2 linked regions of the Nothobranchius furzeri genome follow. The protein of the gene in region 1 purifies or fractionates together with the protein of each later gene. This does not show direct contact. Links are inferred from orthologs where the notes say so. Each region holds a gene or a part of one and is shown in the gene's direction. Other genes may lie near its edges.

Region 1 (4,322 bases):
ACGTTTCCTATGAGCATACTAAACCCACAGCTGATAACCTTTACATATTATTACAGTCATGTCTCCATATGCATTATATTATATCCACAAGCACGCAAGGCCGGATTAACCATATGGGCAACTGGGCAATTGCCCAGGGGCCCACGAAATCTAAAGGGCCCAGCCCAGGGCAGCAAGAGCACGAGTAAAATACTGTATCTGTAATCTCCCGCTTTATATTAAACTAGGGTGACCATACGTCCTCTTTTCCCCTGATATGTCCACTTTTCACTCTCTGTCCGGGCGTCCGGGGGGTTCTTGTATTGATGAAAATGTCCGGTTTTTCATCCAGGAGCAGGGATCAAATTATGGGGGAGCTGGATATCCTACACATCCAGGGGAGCCGGATAAAACGTTTTCCACCTATATTACATCATTTATGGACTCTTTTGAGCAGAGAGCACATATAGCGATGATCGTTGGTGTTCAGCGCTCCAGGCTGCTGCGTCCAGCGCACGGTCCATTCTCAAAGTGGCGCAACCCAAAAACTATAATTAACACACGATCATTCATGTCTGCACATGTTCTCTACTTTCTGTCTTATTTGTGCCTGAAGCGCTCTGCCACTGCGGAGCTCATCGTGTGCTGTGGTGATTTTACCTCACTGAAGCAGCATCGAATCGCGCACTCCGCTTTGCGGTCAGGAGATCCCTTTGATCTGCTCAAAAGTAACTGATGAGGTGAAAAAGTAAGAATCCAGGCAGCAGTTTTTCTGGAGAGTTTAGAGGAGATGCAGGAAGATGAGAGACAGACAAGACAGGAAATAGTTAAATAAAAACAAGAAAACTAAGTAAAATGTAGGTAGATTTATCTCCACTACATGTTTTTACTTGTATAAAACAATAAGTTCGCACATGTAATATTTATACATTTGATACAATTCAGATCACATTCAAAACTCAATCACACACCCAGGGCCGTTTCAAGACATTTTGGGGGCCAAGGCAAAATGACCCCCCCCCCCCCCCCCCCATGCAGACTGACCAATGAAGAGAGGGCCAAAGGTTACCTTGAGCGGGTTACATGATGTCAGGCATTCAAGTATTGAGTATATTTACTGCATATTACAGTAAAATATTCTGTATGTGACCATTTCATGGTGGTCCTTGGGTCGTGATGATGGGGTCCTTGAATGTTGTTGCCCAGGGTACAACAAAGTGTTAATCTGGCCCTGCAAGCACATGAGGATGTGTTTCGGTTGCTAACAGGCACCAGAATTAAAATGAAAAATTATATGAACTCTAACGCGATATCTTCATCCGTCATCAACCGCGAGCTACACATGTAGGAAAATCTGTTTGGCTTAAATGCCGGCTTTCAGCCACTTCCCCTGCTGCGTCAGTCTGCTCTCGTCTATTTTCCTGGTGAGGTGCTGCTCAACTCGAACAAGCCCATAGACGATCTTCGACTTCAAACAACGCGGCATTTCAGAAGTATCGCGAGATCGACTGGAGCATCAGTCTGCGACGCTTCGTGCTCGCTGTTGGTTGTTTTTCTGTACATATCCGGTAAAATGCCTGGTTTATTCTTTTTTATGTGACTTAATAATTTACCATAAACGTTTTGGGTCTGCAGTGGAAATAACAGACAGAAATATGGAGGCCGCTGAAGGTAAGACGTGTTTAATGGAGCTAAAGATGCTAATGTCGGGTGTAAACACAGCGATGATGTTGCACTCGGACAGGTATCAGCGCTCCCACCCCCACGGAGGACATGAACGGAGCCGGAACCTTAATGGACCTGCTGGACGAACCCTTCCCGGACGTGGGCACGTATGAAGACTTCCACACGATTGACTGGCTGCGGGAGAAGTCCAGAGACACGGACCGCCACAGGAAGGTCCGTGAGGCGTTTGGTGGTGGTGGGGGGGATCCTACTGCTGCAGGTGTCTCACTTCCGGCTTCTCCTCCAGATCACCAGCAAGAGCAGGGAGTCCATCTGGGAGCTGATCAAGTCTCTGTTGGACGCCTGGTCCGGATGGGTGGTGATGCTGCTCATCGGCCTCCTGTCAGGTCAGTCCAGATCCAGGTCAGGGTCCACATCTGGATCCAGAAGTGATGGGGGTTTTATTCCAGACTACTAGGAAGCAAACGGATCTGCTTTCTGATGGAATCATAAAGTTTACACTTTTATTTCGGTAACTCCAGATGAAGCTGTAGAGCTGCATCAGCTGGAGCAGGCACGGGTCAGGTGGTAGCAGGTAACTGTGGCTGTCCTCAGGTACGCTGGCAGGTGTGATCGACCTGGCCGTGGACTGGATGACGGACCTGAAGGAGGGCGTGTGTCTGTCAGCCTTCTGGTACAGCCACGAGCAGTGCTGCTGGACCTCCAATGAGACCACCTTCGATGACCGGGACAAGTGTCCACAGTGGCAGAAATGGGCAGAGCTAATGACGGGTCACACAGATGTGAGGACTGACCTGATTTGAGGTGATTTGATGCATAAAGTTCTGGACTTTATTGGGTTTCTGATTCCAGGGAGCTGGAGCGTACGTGCTGAACTACTTCCTGTACATCCTGTGGGCACTGCTGTTCTCCTTCTTGGCCGTGTCACTGGTCCGAGTCTTCGCTCCATACGCGTGCGGGTCAGGAATCCCAGAGGTACTGAGCTGAGGGTGCTTACAGAACTTTCACGTGAAGAAACAAACCATGAGCTTTTGATGAGCCGGGTTTGTTCTCCTTCTCCAGATCAAAACGATCCTCAGTGGCTTCATCATCCGGGGATACCTGGGGAAGTGGACCCTGCTGATAAAGACCGTCACGCTGGTTCTGGCCGTGTCCTCTGGTCTGAGTCTGGGGAAGGAGGGTCCTCTGGTCCACGTGGCCTGTTGCTGTGGAAACCTCTTCTGCAGCCTCTTCTCCAAGTACAGCAAGAACGAGGGCAAACGCAGAGAGGTCCGCTGCAGCAGGTTCTGGTCCCGGTTCTGGTTCTGGATAATAATCTGTGTTTGTCTCCACAGGTGTTGTCGGCGGCGGCAGCAGCAGGTGTGTCCGTGGCCTTCGGAGCGCCTATTGGAGGGGTTCTGTTCAGCCTGGAGGAGGTTGGTTCTGATCCGATCTGATCCGTGTAAGGTTCTGGTTCTGTGGTAAAGCTTTCTCTTGTCCTCCAGGTGAGCTACTACTTCCCTCTGAAGACTCTGTGGAGGTCGTTCTTCGCGGCGCTGGTGGCGGCGTTCACACTACGGTCCATAAACCCGTTTGGGAACAGCCGCCTGGTTCTGTTCTACGTGGAGTACCACACCCCCTGGTACATGGCCGAGCTGGTTCCCTTCATCCTGCTGGGGGTGTTCGGGGGACTGTGGGGAACCCTGTTCATCCGGGCCAACATCGCCTGGTGCCGGCGGAGGAAGACGACCCTGCTGGGGAAGTACCCGGTTCTGGAGGTGATTGTGGTGACGGGGATCACGGCGGTTCTGGCGTACCCAAACCCGTACACCCGCCGCAGCACCAGCGAGTTGATTTCAGAGCTGTTCAACGACTGTGGAGCGCTGGAGTCCTCCCAGCTCTGCGACTACGTCAACAATCCCAACATGAGCCGACCCGTAGATGACATCCCGGACCGACCCGCCGGGCCCGGTGTCTACAACGCCCTGTGGCAGCTTGCCCTCGCTCTCGTCTTCAAGATCCTCATCACCATCTTCACCTTCGGCATGAAGGTCAGAACTTTGCTGTTTCACAACGTTTGGGCCCAGATGAGTTCTAGTGACCGTGGTTCTGGTTCCTCCTCAGATCCCGTCGGGCCTCTTCATTCCCAGCATGGCGGTGGGAGCGATCGCGGGTCGGATCGTCGGGATCGCCGTGGAGCAGATGGCCTACCACCACCATGACTGGATCATCTTTAAGAACTGGTGTCGGCCCGGCGCCGACTGCGTCACGCCGGGACTCTACGCCATGGTGGGAGCTGCTGCCTGCCTGGGTGAGCAGATCGGACGCAGAGCTGAGCCGGTTCTGGTTCCTGTATTAATGTTGTGGTTCTGATCAGGGGGCGTGACCAGGATGACGGTGTCTCTAGTGGTGATCATGTTCGAGCTGACGGGTGGGCTGGAGTACATCGTTCCGCTGATGGCCGCCGCCGTCACCAGTAAGTGGGTCGCCGACGCCTTCGGGAAGGAGGGGATCTACGAGTCCCACATCCAGCTCAACGGCTATCCCTACCTGGACGTCCGGGATGAGTTCACCCACCGCACCCTGGCCACCGACGTGATGAGGCCACGCCGGAATGACCCTCCTCTGGCTGTCCTCACGCAGGACAGCACCACAGTGGAGGACGTGGAGACGCTCAT
Region 2 (4,263 bases), on another chromosome or scaffold:
GAAATAACCCCTGTCCCCATTGATCCGGGTGACCAGAGGCTGGAATGGTCGGGGCGGAATTTTTCAGTGATTGATTTTTACTACTTATAGGTATGAGTGTCTTAGCGTACAGAGAAATGTGAAAGCAGGATTACCAGGAAATAGGTGTATTGGCTGATGATTCTGGGGCTTATTTTACAAATTAATAAAGGGAAGAAAGAATAGGAATAATAACTTTTTGTTTTTTCATTTGACTAAATATTGAAATGATTTTTGTTAACATTTTTATGATAGTTGTTACTTATATTTAATGCTTGTCATCCAGGTAATTGCCGGTCCATATAATGCTAAACTATGTGGTTCATTTGGTTTTTTAAAAACCTGATATGCTTATTGTGTTGTAGGTGGTTTTGCAGTTTTCTCTTCTTTTATATATTTAATGTATTCAAAGTCACACCTGTATGAATACTGGAGTAATTTTGTTTTGCTTTGTTGTTATGTGTGTGTAGCACTTTCAGTCTATGATTGTGGTCTCTGTGCATTTTATTCCTTGTTATTTATGGATTTTTGTATTTTTATTACACATTTATTTTTTGTCTACCTTGATTATTTTATAACCTGCAGCAATAATGAACACCGTGTAAATTTTTATCTTGGAGATGAATGAAAACATTATTTTCTGTTCAGTTGATCCAGATACATGTTTGCTCATTTGAACAAGAAAACAAACTGCTAAATTAATTTAAAAAGTGGTTTTGCAGCGAATGTAACTGTGGATAAGTGAATAGTAGTTGTGGGTGAAAAGAAAAAGTGCCACCTTTATTGCTCTCATTTATGAATGCCACACTGCTGAACAAATGTCGCCCTCTTGTGGCAAATTTAGGTTGTTTTGTCATTTTGTTTGGGTTCAAATAACATTTGAGCGTACTAAACGCAAGAAAGCAGCTTATTTCCACAGGGGAGTGGAAAAAAATCCTTATTCTTGAAAGCCAGATACTAAAAGATTAGTCACATAAATCCCTTATAGACAGCGTATGTGGCCATCAATCACCTTCATTTGGCAGCGTATTCCTTCTTGAACTCATTTAGTTTTAATATAAAATGTCTGTTGTTTTGGTATTCCGTGTTTGAATGGTTTTATAAATCGTTTAAATTTCATCTTGTTCCCTCTGTATCTTCTTTTTTATTATTATTATTAATTTTTTGTAACTATTGTTATTTTAATGTTTTTATTTTTATTTTTTGTATATTTGATTAATATACCTCCCACCAGAGGGTGTTCCTCTCTTTTAATTTGACATCTTGAAGGGGGTGTGAATGTTTGGATTCGTGTGTTGTTCTTGGAATTTATTATTTTGTTCTTTTCTGTTTTGTTAAATAAAGTTTAAGAATTTCAAAGTTATTTTAACATTTCACCAGCAGGAGGCGCCATTACCCCGTGTTCATGGGAGGTCAGTGATGATTCCGAAATCCGGAAGTTTAGAGTCAACTTGACGATTTTTTTTTTCAGCTGCAACCAAACCGCATGTAGCAGGATTCTGGATGTTCATAAAACAAGCTTTTCTGCTGTTACAGCGTAAGTTAAATATGCCATTATACGCAATAGCATTTTATTTTAATTTCAGAGTCAACGTTTGACGTGATATTTGTTTCATTTTTTGTGTTAGCCTGTTAGCTAACTTGGCTAGGTGCTAGCTTGCTAGTTGTATGTTTTGTTTTGACACTGTGGTCATTTGTGCTGTCGTCGTGCAGCCTGTTGTCCTTTTAGTTGAAATGCCCGGCCGAGGTGGATCCTGGGTCTTTGTTCCAGCCACATTAGTGACCGTGCTGCTGCTGGAAACTGCTGTTCCTGTTCAGGCCAAGGTAAAAACAAACCGACCATTTTATGTCCTGTTAGAGCTTGTTTTTGTATTATTTTGATTTTCAGTGTCAACTCAGTAACTTGTGTTACATTATAACAGATCTACCCTTTATGTTTTCATTGCATATTAGAGCAAAATCATAAATCAGTGCTTGTCAGAGAAAACCTTTATATGTGTGTGATTTTATCTTCAATCTACCACTATATTAAGGTCACATCCTTAAAAACAATGTTGCATCTTGTGCAGTCAAATATGTGCAAAATATCTTAAAATGCATCGTGGATCAATGAGAAGACCCAATCTTTAATTAACTTTTCTTGACTGTTGCAGAACTTTGAGGATGTGCGCTGCAAGTGCATCTGCCCACCCTACAGAAACATTTCTGGACACATCTATAACAAAAATGTCACCCAGAAAGATTGGTAAGGAACTTTATTGCGACAAAGTATCCTTTTAGGAGGGTGAGTTTGAGCAGCCTGCAGGAAGGTATTGTTCTAATTATTTTATATTAAAGGAGTCATCACCTGAAGTTTTCACTTTTCCACTTGAAAAACTGTAAATATAATGATTTCCTAATTATTTTTCACTGGCCGGGAAGCCGATAATTTAACATTTAACACTGATCATTTTTTTACTCTTGGTTTCTTCAACCAGCCCAGGTGCATCCCCTGAGCCCCTTGAGTTCTGGCCTTGATGTTGTCACAAAGGCAGGATGTACAGTACCATATATGGACAACGCAGAGCAACACCGCTATAGCCCGCACTGCTCTGCTTCCCCTCAAATTCAGTCGAGCACCGCCATTACTGAAATCAGGAGAACGGAAAATGTTGAAGTGTGTTTCACATGTGAGCTGCTCAGTTGTTGACTGCAAACTCCACACAAATGTGTTTGTTTTACCAAAATCAGACCAACCCAGCAAACATTAGTCCGACAGCAAGGCTGTGAAATATGTGGAATTCACGGCCAGAAAAGACAACTAGTCGTCGTTAAAAATATAAAAATAATAATTTGTAATTTCAAATATTAAACTTTTATCGCTCTGACGTAATTTCAGCTGTGATCAAGGGTCCAAATGTTTGCTGGGTTTTAACACCATTATTGGTAATAGACATTTTTTTCAGTTAACAAAAGTTGTCGAAGAGAGCTCAGTTAGCAAGACACCCGACTTACACACAGAGAACCCGGGTTCAAATTCAGGCTGGGACATACGAGATTCTGACTCAGATTGCAATTATTTAATTTTTTTAAATATGTTTTTTACTGTAATAAAGTAATAAGATGCTCAAATTTTTATTGTTAGACGTCTAAATGAGATGCGCTGAAAAACGTTGAATTCACTGCCAGAAAACACGGTGGTTTAATTTTTTTAACCATGACGGGACGTCTCGGACTGACGTCGTTTCAACGGTCACGGGAAGCTGGGAAGCTTGTGGATTTCTTTTATTTTTAACAGCGCTGGAGCGTGAGATCGATAGGCGGATTGGTGCAGCGTCTGCAGTGATGCGGGTGTTGTATTGGTCTGTCATGGTGGAGATAGCTGAGCTGGAAGGCAAAGCTCTTGATTTACTGGTTGATCTACGTTCCCACCCTCACCTACGGTCACAAGCTTTGGGTAGTGACCGAAAGAACGAGATCACGGATACAAACAGCCAAAATTAGTTTTCCCCGCAGGGTGTCTGGGCTCTCCCTTAGAGATAAGGTGAGAAGCTCAGTCATCCGGGAGGGACTCAGAGTAGATCTGCTGCTCCTCCACATTGAGAGGAGCCAGTTGAGGTGGCTTGGGCATCTGGTCAGGGTGCCTCCTGGACGCCTCCCTGATGAGGTTTTCCGGGCACGTCCAACTGGGAAGAGACCCAAGACACGCTGGAGAGACTATGTCTCTCGACTGGCCAGGGAACAACTTGAGATTCCCCCGGAAGAGCTGGCTCAAGTAGCTGAAGAGAGGGAAGTCTGGGCATCCCGGCTTAGGCTGCTGCCTCAGTGACCCGACTCCGGCTAAGCAGCTGAAAGTGGATGGCTGTTCCTGAAACTCTCCCCACTACTCTCGATGTCTGTGCTAGCCATTTTAAGCCAGAATGCTTTATAACTTTTGGGGCTATATCAGGCGAAGATGGCATTGAGGATTCATCTAGAATGAGGGGAGATTCCAACACTGAGAAACTTACCTGAAATTCAAACGGTAAGGCAGAATTTATCCGTCACAGGCACTTTATTTTGGAGAGAGATGCTGAAGCGAAACATATGGTGTCAACACCCCTGCTTCCTTCCACCAATCAACTCATTTGCATTATTCTAATGTCCTTTTCATACAGCCAAAATATCGCCTTTGCTCTCGCGAGAAAACGTCCTTTACAAAAAAAAGGGTCAGAAAAGCACTTTTTGATTTTTTTTTTCCAATACAAATTATGTTTATGACCTAAT

Evidence for each region.
Region 2: the proteins of H(+)/Cl(-) exchange transporter 4 (region 1) and tmem9 purify together in Homo sapiens (co-immunoprecipitation; 3 studies listed by BioGRID and IntAct, with this or other methods). This does not show direct contact. The link is inferred for Nothobranchius furzeri from reciprocal best matches to the Homo sapiens genes CLCN4 and TMEM9.

The regions. Positions count from the first base shown.
Region 1 is NC_091743.1:82,166,369-82,170,690, reverse strand, and holds the start of H(+)/Cl(-) exchange transporter 4, read left to right. Parts: upstream 1-1,474; 5' UTR 1,475-1,634; coding exon 1,635-1,650; intron 1,651-1,723; coding exon 1,724-1,878; intron 1,879-1,951; coding exon 1,952-2,051; intron 2,052-2,259; coding exon 2,260-2,447; intron 2,448-2,517; coding exon 2,518-2,640; intron 2,641-2,727; coding exon 2,728-2,934; intron 2,935-2,999; coding exon 3,000-3,080; intron 3,081-3,149; coding exon 3,150-3,695; intron 3,696-3,768; coding exon 3,769-3,955; intron 3,956-4,021; coding exon 4,022-4,322. UniProt on the Homo sapiens protein: Strongly outwardly rectifying, electrogenic H(+)/Cl(-)exchanger which mediates the exchange of chloride ions against protons.
Region 2 is NC_091755.1:26,873,575-26,877,837, forward strand, and holds the start of tmem9 (proton-transporting V-type ATPase complex assembly regulator TMEM9), read left to right. Parts: upstream 1-1,417; 5' UTR 1,418-1,555; intron 1,556-1,731; 5' UTR 1,732-1,752; coding exon 1,753-1,842; intron 1,843-2,171; coding exon 2,172-2,263; intron 2,264-4,263. UniProt on the Homo sapiens protein: Transmembrane protein that binds to and facilitates the assembly of lysosomal proton-transporting V-type ATPase (v-ATPase), resulting in enhanced lysosomal acidification and trafficking.